3 linked regions of the Rattus norvegicus genome follow. The protein of the gene in region 3 purifies or fractionates together with the protein of the main gene of each other region. This does not show direct contact. Links are inferred from orthologs where the notes say so. Each region holds a gene or a part of one and is shown on either strand. Other genes may lie near its edges.

What was found.
Region 1: the proteins of Rabggta (region 3) and Chm purify together in Homo sapiens (co-immunoprecipitation; 4 studies listed by BioGRID and IntAct, counting the BioPlex papers as one, with this or other methods). This does not show direct contact. The link is inferred for Rattus norvegicus from reciprocal best matches to the Homo sapiens genes RABGGTA and CHM.
Region 2: the proteins of Rabggta (region 3) and Chml purify together in Homo sapiens (co-immunoprecipitation; 3 studies listed by BioGRID and IntAct, counting the BioPlex papers as one, with this or other methods). This does not show direct contact. The link is inferred for Rattus norvegicus from reciprocal best matches to the Homo sapiens genes RABGGTA and CHML.

What each region holds. Positions count from the first base shown.
Region 1 is NC_086039.1:82,551,741-82,555,487, forward strand, and holds the start of Chm (rab proteins geranylgeranyltransferase component A 1), read right to left. Parts: upstream 2,304-3,747; 5' UTR 2,121-2,303; intron 1-2,120. UniProt on the Homo sapiens protein: Substrate-binding subunit of the Rab geranylgeranyltransferase (GGTase) complex.
Region 2 is NC_086031.1:90,149,643-90,153,389, forward strand, and holds the start of Chml (rab proteins geranylgeranyltransferase component A 2), read right to left. Parts: upstream 2,456-3,747; 5' UTR 2,350-2,455; coding exon of another isoform or gene 1,983-2,349; intron 1-1,982. Other genes in the region: Opn3 (opsin-3), read right to left, coding at 1,983-2,349. UniProt on the Homo sapiens protein: Substrate-binding subunit (component A) of the Rab geranylgeranyltransferase (GGTase) complex. Binds unprenylated Rab proteins and presents the substrate peptide to the catalytic component B.
Region 3 is NC_086033.1:33,176,664-33,180,410, forward strand, and holds the end of Rabggta (geranylgeranyl transferase type-2 subunit alpha), read right to left. Parts: intron 3,722-3,747; coding exon 3,616-3,721; intron 3,525-3,615; coding exon 3,473-3,524; intron 3,343-3,472; coding exon 3,254-3,342; intron 3,138-3,253; coding exon 3,049-3,137; intron 2,781-3,048; coding exon 2,664-2,780; intron 2,028-2,663; coding exon 1,914-2,027; intron 1,665-1,913; coding exon 1,577-1,664; intron 491-1,576; coding exon 342-490; 3' UTR 264-341; downstream 1-263. UniProt on the Homo sapiens protein: Catalyzes the transfer of a geranylgeranyl moiety from geranylgeranyl diphosphate to both cysteines of Rab proteins with the C-terminal sequence -XXCC, -XCXC and -CCXX, such as RAB1A, RAB3A, RAB5A and RAB7A.

The DNA.
Region 1 (3,747 bases), on a different chromosome or scaffold from region 3:
TAGGACCTGTAACTAATGATAACTTTTCCACACACCCCAAAATTGTCATGAAAATTACACTTTAAATGCCAAACTCTTCTGAAATGACATATGTACCAAAGCCAAAGATCACATTCTAAGAATTTGTGTCCATTTTCTTCCCCACCAAGATTCCAATTGGTTTTCCCTCTTTAATCTTTTTTTTAATCTTTCCCCCCACAATTCAAGTACTGTATCTTAATTCTGTTCCTTTAGGTATTCTGATATAATTTTCCCATATCTTGAAACTATGACCTTAAAGGAAACTTTAATCCATGCCATGCAAAAAGTAAAGATGCACATTATTTAAGGTTGATAAACTTTTAAAGCATTCTTAGATGATGCTACATGATGAAGCAATTGTCTTCTGATGACAGTTTAACTAAACAGTTGTTAAAAGGGAGCTACAACGCACAGCTCTTTCTTATAATGACATGCTTCATTATGCTTTTGATAACAGAACCCAAGTTATAAAACACTGCTTTACCTACAAATTTCCTAAGTGCAAATTTAATACAGTCAACACATTTAAAGTCTACCCTTAGCAATGTATTTGAGAAGGAAATCACAATGTTTCAATAACGAAGCCAATTAAAAGCAATGATTGAAATCTTAAGAATGATTTTATTTAAAAAATGACTTTCAACAAATGTTTTCACTTTTAATGTATCTAAAAGAATTAAAATAGCTAAGAAAAATAACACATCACCCAAATAAATACAGAGACTCCAAGTATAATTTAAAAAAGACTTATTCTAAAATGGATGGCGTTTTCGGTTTTAGGCAGGCACACTGGGGAAACTGAACGTTCTACTTCATCTTTCAAGCTCTCCTTTAACATCTGCTCATTCCAGGAAGCACCAGGTTAGCTGCTCAGCGGTTATCTTCAGGCTGGGAGCAAACACACCCCCACTGTTCTGAGAACAACTTACCCAGGTACATCTAGAATATGAGAATCTGTGTTCTGGATAATACCTTAAAGGCTATCTGAGTTACCTTCCTTATATTCAAAATGGTAGAAATTGAACCGCTTGAGACCCTCCCATTGCATAATCTAGAGCAGGTTTCCCTGGTATTTGTGATAACATAGTTCAAATTTGAGTCAAAAACAAAACAAAACAAAAAACAAACAAAAACCCCTGAATTCCATTTCTTGGATGGTATTAGCCACTGGACATTTACTAGCTGTGTGATTTTGGCAAGTTAGACTTCCAAGCTGCTTCTTTTCTTTTGTGTACTGAAAAGGATACCAATTTTACCAAGGTTTTTGACCGGATTATATGAAGTGCTTAAGTTCATTGATTAGGGAACGGTAAGTATTAGAAAATGGGTTGCTATCACTTTTACTCTAAACCTGAAAATATAGCTGTTCTTACTGTTTGGTAAGAAAGCAAACAGAATTCATTAACACAACAGACAAGATCCCAATGACCAAAGCTTCTATGGCCTAGCATATTCTAAGACAGTAGAATCCGCCCCCCTCCCCAAACTATCTCTTTTATCCTATGCAAACTTACAGTTAAGATAAGAATAGCTAATTGTCGCCAAGCATTATAGGATTAACTAGTCAACTAGAAGCTGAAAAGGATTTCTGGCTCCACCCAAAACATGGAGAACAAATGATGGAAGAGCTAGGGGAAGCTGAGCTCAGACACGGGTTGTGGAACACTGGAGCTTACTCTCAGCACATCTAGTTGTGGTGTGTTAATAGGTGACAGAAAACAAGATGCTTTCTGCATTATGAACTAGGATGCTTTAAACTTCGTAATGCAGGAACCTCAAGAAAAAAAAAATACTTAACTACTCAACACAACAGGGAAGAGTACTTTTTCTTTCCTTTAGTAAAAATACACACGTGTAACGACTGAGTATCATTTTTATAAAACTGCAAATTAGGCTGCATCTGAGCTGCAATGTACCCTAGCTCATGTAAGTATATGGGGGCGTGCGGGGGGAGGGGGGCGTTCTATGAAATGGCGACCTGAAACGATGGGGAATATAACCTTGAAATCAACAAGGAGGGAAGGTGGCAATTATTTGTGCCAACGGCGTCTCCATTGATCAAATCCCGATCCTCCATTGTCATGACACTGCAAACCCACCTTCCTCTAAGGAAATTAACAGGAATCACCACAGCAACCAACCTCAGCAATCGGCATCGACCAGATCGACCCCTACTCAAATGGCGCAAAACACCGCGGGTCCAAGCCCCTCCCTGGAGCTGCCAAGTCCCGCGCTGACTCCAGACTACCTCACTTCCTTTCTGTCCTCCCTCCCAGGCTCGACCCCCGCCGTTTCTTGCCAACCCTCACCACTGACAGAGAAAATAAAAAGCGAGAATTATTTTCTATATTTTGTCCAGCGAAAATCAGGGCCACACATACCCGTCCCTATTACGATCACATCAAAGTCCGAAGGGAGATTATCCGCCATCTTGACAGGAAACGTGTCATGTGACTGTAGTTTGTAGCTGTGAATTTCTAAGGCACTACCTAGGTAGAAAGCGGAAGGAAAAACAGTGCATTCTGGGTGTTGTAGTTTTAGGGTAGCGGGTGCAGGTAGGCGACAACAGAGTAGCATTAAAATGTTAATGCAAATGGTAAAAGCTAGATTTATTTCACAGACTTCAGTGATATACCTTACTTATCCTAGCAGTTTGATATGGAAATGAAACGTAATTATTCGACTCCTCAAGCAAGGATGAATGAGGAAAGTTTGTATACCCCTTTGACAATTACCAAGCAAAAATTGATCAGAGATGCTCAGGCAGTAGTGAAATTCAAAGGGGCTCACTTTGAACAAATGAATCATTCAAGCCAGGAAAACTGTTTCCCCTAGCATGTCTGTATTTGCATTTTTAGAACCTGAGGAATCTCTTTTCACTTTATACCAATACTGTCTTTTTGTCTCTGTGCCTTCCCAGAGAGAATAGAACCAAACAAAAAACTCTTTGCCTAGTTTCCACAGAATAGAATTCCTCACAGAATTTCAAATTGCCGCCTAGCAAAGTAAGTTACAACATTAACTTTGCTTTAGAGATGGCAGTGAGAGTGGGGGATGGGGGAGTGTGAAAGAGTATTAAAGAATAGTAGATGGTTTATAAATCTTTTGTTTCAGAATCTGATTTTCTGCCAAAATAAGGAGAACGCATACAAGTTTCTCCTGCAATGTTGAGGAGAAATGATTAACATTAAATAGATTTAATATGGAAGTGGGCATATTTGATAAGGGAGCTTAAGACTGTCTATGTCAAGCAGTTAATATAACTCTCATGAGTATTTTCAAGGTCTGTCAGCTCACACTCTACCTTATTTAAAACACATTTGTCTGAAAATAGTAAAGCAAAAATAGGCAATGGGGTACACTGTAGTGAGTAAAGTACTTTTTAATCCAAGGAATCATTTTTATAGCTATTTTTCGAGAGTTTCAAAATAACAATCCTTTATACTATCTACAGTCTCAGCTACTTATCATTCTCCATACATTGTTTCCTTCTTAATCTCTATGACCTCCCCACATTAGCTCTTCCTTCAACAATGAATAATCTTCTCAACCTCTAGGTAACATGCTTAATAACAAATAAGGGATACACTTAATATTATTAAAGCATTAAGTGATGTATGTGTTTCTAAAGAACACATGATTCCATGTAATTATGCACAACTTTACGTATCAGTTAAAAATAATAAAATAAAGGGGAAGCTACAAATGTACTTCAATGTTTAAGAT
Region 2 (3,747 bases), on a different chromosome or scaffold from region 3:
GGAACGTCCAGCAGTTAAACATGTCCTCTCCTTCAGTACTCAGAATTGATTAGTCCTGGCTGAGGAGCAGAAAAGGGAAGAGTCTTCTCTACCTCCATCCTTTTCCCTACTCAAGAAGCATATTCTGGGAAAAGAAATCATTTGCTAATTATGCTGTTAAGATCTGCAGCAATCTCACTCTAGACTTGTCTCCAAGAAGTAACTTATTTCCAATCCTCTAATCCCACAAGACCTACATCGGGTTTTAGGATGGGAATAAAGGCCATGATTCAAAGTCCTAATAGATGCCCTGAATAAAGGAACTGTCCAGTAAAACACCCGGGGTGGATGTTTCTTGTAGTCTTTAAAGAAATCTCTTCTGATGCTGACAGACCCCAGCAGGAATTCAGAAGGGGAAGAAAGGACAGAGAGGATTCTGGAAGATAAGCTTGGCAGAGCAAGCCAGAGAGAGACAGGGTGCTGCAGACATAAGAAAAACTCAACCCAGTCTTGTTTTCTCAGCCCCAGATGGAGACACTGAACACCACAGCACAGAAAAGTACTTCACAGAAAAAAAGGACTTTAATGTCTTCAAACACCTGTCGCCCGCCCAAGGGGTTCTGCAAGCTAGGCTCCTGACACATCACCTTGTTTAAAGATTAATCTGCCTAAAAAACCCTCCCAACGAACATTTTTAGGTAACAGAATAATCACATAGACAACCTATGTACCACTCATATCCTCTTACGGACCTTTCTCAGGGTTCAATACTGTTATATAAAGGAAGTCCTTAGATGAATGTTTATTAGGGGGGAGAGAATAAGAAAGTATCAGAATTGTCAAGTAGTGGGGGAAAAAAAAAACCACCGTAACTCCTAAATTTTATTTTAAAACTTTAAAAAGGGAATCATGACAAATACTCTGAGATTTGGGTTTGTCATACATCTCCGGGATATGACATAGATGATTTTCTCTAAGACCTGCCAAGATCAAGGTAATAGTAAATTATCAATGTGTTTTAAGGTTTGTAAAAAGGGACTTTAAGCCTTAAGTAATATCCATTTCTATTGTAAGTCGTTGTACAAACAAAATCCTTAGGACAGATACACACAGACTCTCTCTCTTCTCTCTCCTCTCTCTCTCTCTCTCTCTCTCTCTCTCTCTCTCTCTCTCTCTCACACACACACACACACGTTTTTCTCAGGTTTAGAATCCTGGGTTAGTCAACCTTCAACCTGTCAATTCTCAATATAAATCTTCAAGAAATCAACAAGTTCTACTTTAATTAAACGTACTGGCTGCCCTGCTAATTATTTATTCGCAAGAGTGAGTTGGAATTCTTTGAGCCCTTTGTAACCTCTGGTGTGACAGAACCTATGTGGAGGGAATACAATTAAAAAAAAGTATAATACAGTCTCACTCCCTAGGAAGCATTCAACCGTTTAGAATTGCTAACGAGTGAAAGGGGGTAAAAATGCTGCGTTATTTAGGATTCTACGTGTCACTTTAAGAAACAAATACTTCATTTATTAATTAAATCTTTCCTTGTCCCCGCCTCCACTCTTCAAGAGTTGACTTTTTTCTTGCATCTCTGGACTCTACAGGCCCTGGTTTCTTTCCCCCACTGTGAGATGCCCTGTTGAGCTACAGTAGGAAGTAAAAACAGATGAGAGGACATAAGGTGATCGGCAGCAGGGAGACTTTGTTAAGTGCTGCAGAGGGATGGGGAGCCGAGGTTGATGACTGGCTGGGAGGAAGGCTGTGTAGACCCGAGGGAGGGGGCGGAAGAGAAAGAGAGTTGGGGAGGAAGACCTGGTGGAAGGGAGAATTCCTGGGAGAAGAGAGAAGAGGGTTACGGATGAAGGGAGGTTCTCGAGGAGGAGAGACAGGGAGTTGTGGGTGATGACTGGCTATCAGGGACGATCCCGGGAAGGACGGAAGCCCAGAGCTGAGGTACCCAGGGAAAGTTGAGAGGCGAGGAGAACCCGTCCCGGGCGACTCACCAAAGAGGCTGCCGCTAAACCCGTCCCACGCGCAGCCCACGGCGTCCCACACCCAGCCGTTCCGCAGGCACGACGCGAAGGTGAAGGTGACTCCGAACAGGGATACCAGCAGATCGCCCAGACTGAGGTTGACCAGGAAGAGGTGGGTGGGCGTGCGCAGTCGCGGGAACTTGGAGTAGAGAAGCAGCACCAGCAGGTTGCCGCCGACGCCCAGCAGCGCGAGGCAACCGAGCAGCAGCGCCAGGCGCTCGTACGCGGTGGGGCTGAAGAGAGGCGCGGGGCTCCGCGTGCCGGCCGGTGCTGCGCCCTCGGCGCCCGCCCCGTCCTCCCAGTAGCCCTGGCCGCCGCTACGGTTCCCCGAGTACATGGCCCGACGCCGACGCGCCGTGAGGGAGAGGGCTCCGTGCGCCCGGCTGCCCGCCACGCAGCGAACCGGGTGGAGCTCACGCTCAGGCTGCAGCTCAGGCCATTGTGCCTCGGAGCAGCGCCAGGCCCGCCCAGCCCGCGCGCACCCGAGACCCCGCCCTTCAGTGCTAGGACCCCGCCCACCGCACGAAGCTCCGCCCCCTAGCGTTCTTGAGATCCCGCCCTCCCGCGTGAGTCCCGCGCCCCACTAGCAAGCACTACACTGGACCTCCATCGACGCCACGCCCTTCAATCTTGCGGCCCCACCCAACAACAGCCGTTTGGCCCCGCCCCCTTAAGGCTCTTCCGCAGTCTCGCCTGCGGCTCCTCCCTCCCGGAATCTCCCGTTACTCCGCCCCCCGACTCACACTCTTGGCCCCGCCCTCGAGGGTACGGCCCCGCCCTCTGAGAACCTCTGACTCCGCCTCCTAGTTGGGGCCCGCCTCTTCCACCCCTTCCCACCTCCCAGGCGCATTCTGTAACCTGCAGAGGCAAGTTTTGGAGTCTAGTCAGCTCTTGTTCCTCTTCCTTAACCCTTAAGCCATAGTGGAAGCGGGAAGAGACCGTACAGGGGAAAAAAAAGAAAGTAAACTCCTTTACCGAGCTAAATAAGCCACAGCGGGTCCTCACTGCTCATTTCCCCTCAACCAGCTTGAAAGCATCTCATCCATTCACCTGTTAAGTCAATCATCCTAGCATACATTCATTCATAAATATTTATAAACGCCTGCGCTTAATTCAGTTGAGCATGCTGAATGAAATACTTTTTCCTGTGAAGCTATAACAACACCCACCCCCACCTCATACACCCAACAGAAAGAAAACAAAACAATGAAATGCCCGAGGCAGCGAAACGATCTTACAAACAGGGAAACTGAGGTCAAAACAAACAAACAAACAAAAGCAGCAGGCTGAGACTCAACTACTCTAGAGCTGGAAGATGATATGTCCCAGAGTTTGTGACAGTATGCTGAGGTGCCCCTCTCAGAGCCCCAGAAAAAGGAAGAAAATAGCATCAGAGTGACACCCAAGTCACCCTCCCATTGGATCCCAAGCCTTCTCAGTCTGCAGTAGGAGTATCCTGATACACAATCCTGTCCAAGAGCTTCCTTGGAGGTGATCTCTTGAGCAGTGCCCCCAAGGCTTCAGTCCAAATCTAGCCGGTATAGAGAGGATATATTTAGAACAGCACACATTTTCCACTGGACCTTTCCCCAGCAGCAATGCAAATATAGTACAAGTCAAATATAGATTGTGAGCACCACTTCTTTAGGCCTGCTTTCCCTGTCTCCACTGCAGTCCCCAACGACTACCCACAAGAGAAAAATGTCCCGAGCTCCACGCACCTGAAGCTGTCATA
Region 3 (3,747 bases):
TCACAGTCTCTTCCAGCTAGAGACAGCTGTTCTGAGGCTCAGCCCAAATCATAACCCGAGCCCGATTTCTATCCCAGTCTCAAGCTAGGCTCCCATGACAGCCCCAAAACTGATGATGAACTCAAATCCAGCTGTGGTCCTGACCAGACATGAACACAGAGGCTCTGGGTAGAGAGTATCACAGGGCAGTAGACCCTCACCACAGAGCCCCTCCCTTCCTTTCTTCAAAACAGTGGTGGTAATGGAGGTAGTGTTGTCATGGCAGCGGTCAAGTGGTAGAGGGGCCTCTCCACACTTTATTCAGTCCCAGTAAGTTAAAGGTGAGGATGAGGCAGGGCCTCCTAGGTGAGGATGCTGCTGACAGACGGTAGCATCTCAGCCAAACGCTCCTGGATGCCCTCTTCTTGGCACAGCGAGTTGCCCTGCAGGTTGAGGAGGACTAGCCTGGGGCAGGAGACAAGAGGCTGGATTGCTGCAGACTGTTGGAGGCCTTGGGCAGTAGAGTCAAGGAAGGCTCAGTAGCTCTACCCCACCCATTCTCTGCCACTGGACACCCCAAAGCTAGAAGCTGCTGCTTGGAAGCAAGTCTGATGGTGTCTTACAGGCTTCCCGGGGAGGATAAATCCCTCAGCAGACATTAGGAAGCAAGTCTGATGGTGTCTTACGGGCTTCCCTGGGAGGATAAATCCCTCAGCAGACACTAGGAAGCAAGTCTGATGGTGTCTGACAGGCTTCCTGGGGAGGATAAAGCCTCAGCAGGCACTGTAGAACATCTGGCTGAAGAGGGGGCTGTGGGAAGCAAGTCCTTGTGTGATCATAAAGCGAGGCGGAGGGCTGGAGAGATGGCTCAGGGGTTAAGAGCACTGACTGCTCTTCCAGAGGTCCTGAGTTCAAATCCCAGCAACCACATGGTGGCTCACAACCATCTAATGGGATCTGATGGCCTCTTTTGGTGTTGTCTGAAGAGAGTGACAGTGTACTCATATATAATAAATAAAATCTTTAAAAAAAAAAGAGGTGGAGAGGGCTGTTAAGTGGCTACATGTAAATGAGGGTCAAAGATGCTCTAACCCTCCATTTTCTTTTTTCTTTTCTTTTTTTTTTTTTCTTTTTTTTCGGAGCTGGGGACCGAACCCAGGGCCTTGCGCTTCCTAGGCAAGCGCTCTACCACTGAGCTAAATCCCCAACCCCCTAACCCTCCATTTTCAAGAGAGATCAAAGAATTTTAAAAAATATGGAACTTCCCGATTTCTAGACTACTGTGTGGTTCCTAAGAATCTCTACAGCTGCCTGCCTGTGAACTCTGGCTTGTGGAAGCCACACTCCACAGAACTCCAGAGTAAAAGTTAATAATAGTCACAGACAGCCCCAGGCTATCATCTCCCCTTTCAGCTCACCCTGCCCAAGCCCTGCTTCCTGTCCTGCCTGGAGATGATTCTGCCTGTGTGTGTGGTTTATCCCCCTGCAGCCTGCTCCTTGCCCTGTGAGCTGTCTGCTGTCTGTGTCTGCGGTTTGTCCCCCTACAGCCTGCTCTCTGCCCTAGTAGCTGTCTGCAAAGGAGACTGAGGGAGGATACGGTTATTACATAGTAACAGCTCTTGTAGCCGGGGAAGGTTAGCCACACCATCCACGTTCTCCAGGGCATTGTCACTGGCCTGCAGCACCTGAGGAGCAGGGAGATGGGGAAACACAAGGTCAATCAGGCAGCCTGGGACCAGTATAAGCCATGGAGGAGCCCAGAGTGACCAGCTTAGGTGTGCGAAAAAGCTCACAGGGCCAGGCTATATAGTCAAGGGGGCTGGCGAAGTGGTTACCTGCAGGGGTCAGAGGTCAGGAGGTCCTGCTGTAACATAGGCAAACTTCTGAGTGGAAAAGGGGTACCCCAGACAGAATGGAAGGGATGCATACTTTACCTCAAGACAGCGCAGAGCAGCCAGGGCTGGGGGTAAGGCTCGGAGTCGATTATGGGACAGGTCAAGATGAGTGACCAAGAGCAGTTGTTCCAGGTGGCAGAGCACTGTGAGATCCTAGGAGTTGGGGGGAGGGGGAAAAACTCGGCAAGAGCTAGGACATCTTTAGCCACCTGCTCTGCGTTCCATACGGACCTTACAAGACCCTTGTCAGAGGCTGGCCGCGTGTAAGAAACAAATAGCCAGATCCACATGCTATGTCAGGGACGGGGACAGACAGACAGGGTTACGGAGGGGTGGCTAGTGAGAGGAGACAGGGAGAGGAAACCTCAAGTGTGGGGCAGAGGATAGCGGCATGTCCTAGAGCAAACAGAAAGGTAGGAGTGGGCTTGTGCTGGGCCGCAGTGACGAGGCAAAACGGATCTGTTAAGATGACTAGAGACACGAAAAGCGCTGCCTGGGCAGCTTTCAAAAATCTCTAGAAACAATGTAGAAGCACAGGAATGCACGGATGGGTGGTAAAAGGCCTTTAAAAGAAATTTGCTTTCAGCCCTGGGAATTGAACCCAGGGCCTTACCAATGAGCTTTGATGGTTCAGGATTTAAAACAAGGGAACAAGCAGGATGAAGAACTGACTGACAGGAAGCAAGGCCTAATGAAGGAGCAGGCTAAAAGAAAGATGGTGGAGTCACCCTGGTGGGGAGACAGCAGCGAGGAAGGGGCCAGGGGAAGCAGCCCACGCTGAGTCCGTACCTTGTGAGCCAGGTGCAGCACGCGTACATCAGCGTACTCCATCTTGAGAACACTGTTCTCCAGCAAGAACTTGCTGCGCAGGTCATCCAAGTAAGCTGCTCTCATTGGGTCCACAGCCTGGTGGGGAAGAAGCAGGCAGTTACGCCTTCTAAAGATTTATTTATTTATATGTAAGTACACTGTAGCTGTCTTCAGACACACCAGAGTGGGCATCAGATCTCATTACAGATGGTTGCGAGCCACCATGTGGTTGCTGGGAATTGAACTCAGGACCTCTGGAAGAGCAGTCAGTGCTCTTAACCACTGAGCCACCTCTCCAGTCCAACCTGCCTTCTAATGGCCCACTGGGCCTCCCCTGGCCTGTCCTCCCCCAGGTCCAACTTGCTTTGAGGGTACTGAAGTACTGCAGTGTTTCCTTCTCATAGAGGAGGGGGTCCAGTGCTCGCATCAGCAGGATGATGGTCAGCAGGCACCCTAGGGAGAGGACGGAGAGAGGTTTACAGTCTCTTGAAGACTCTCTGCTCAAGGAGGTTCCCGGGACGGGCTTTCTCCACGTAGTTCTCAGGAGCTGGCTCACGGGAGGATCTTACATTTATTCTCAGGCTCTAGTTCCTGCAGCTCCTTACAGGATTCAAGCTCAGACTGCAGCACTGTGGACTTTTCCACTGACAGCTCACACCTGACAGAGAAGGTATGTTGCCCACAGTCCGGAGTTCTACACCACCCTCCTTCCCCCAGGCCCATGCCTCCTGCCCCAACTGCCTGGTGTCTAGAATCCCTCTCTTTGTCCGTGGGTTCCTTGTCATCACCTGAATAGCTGTTCATCAGTGGCTGAGTCTCGGCACCAGCATTCTGGGCGGTCTAGGGGAAAGGTTAAAGAGTAGGATGAGACACTGTGAGGAGAGAGAAGGCTGAGGAACTGGCACAGTGAAGAAGCTTTAGACAGCATCACCTTTTAAAAGCACACACTCCTTCTGGCTATCACTTCCTGTCCAGATGACACGAAACGTGTGCTGGGGCAACTGGTCATTGAGAGAGGCAGCAGGCAGGTCACAGAGCTGAGAGCACTGGGTCAAGGAAATGT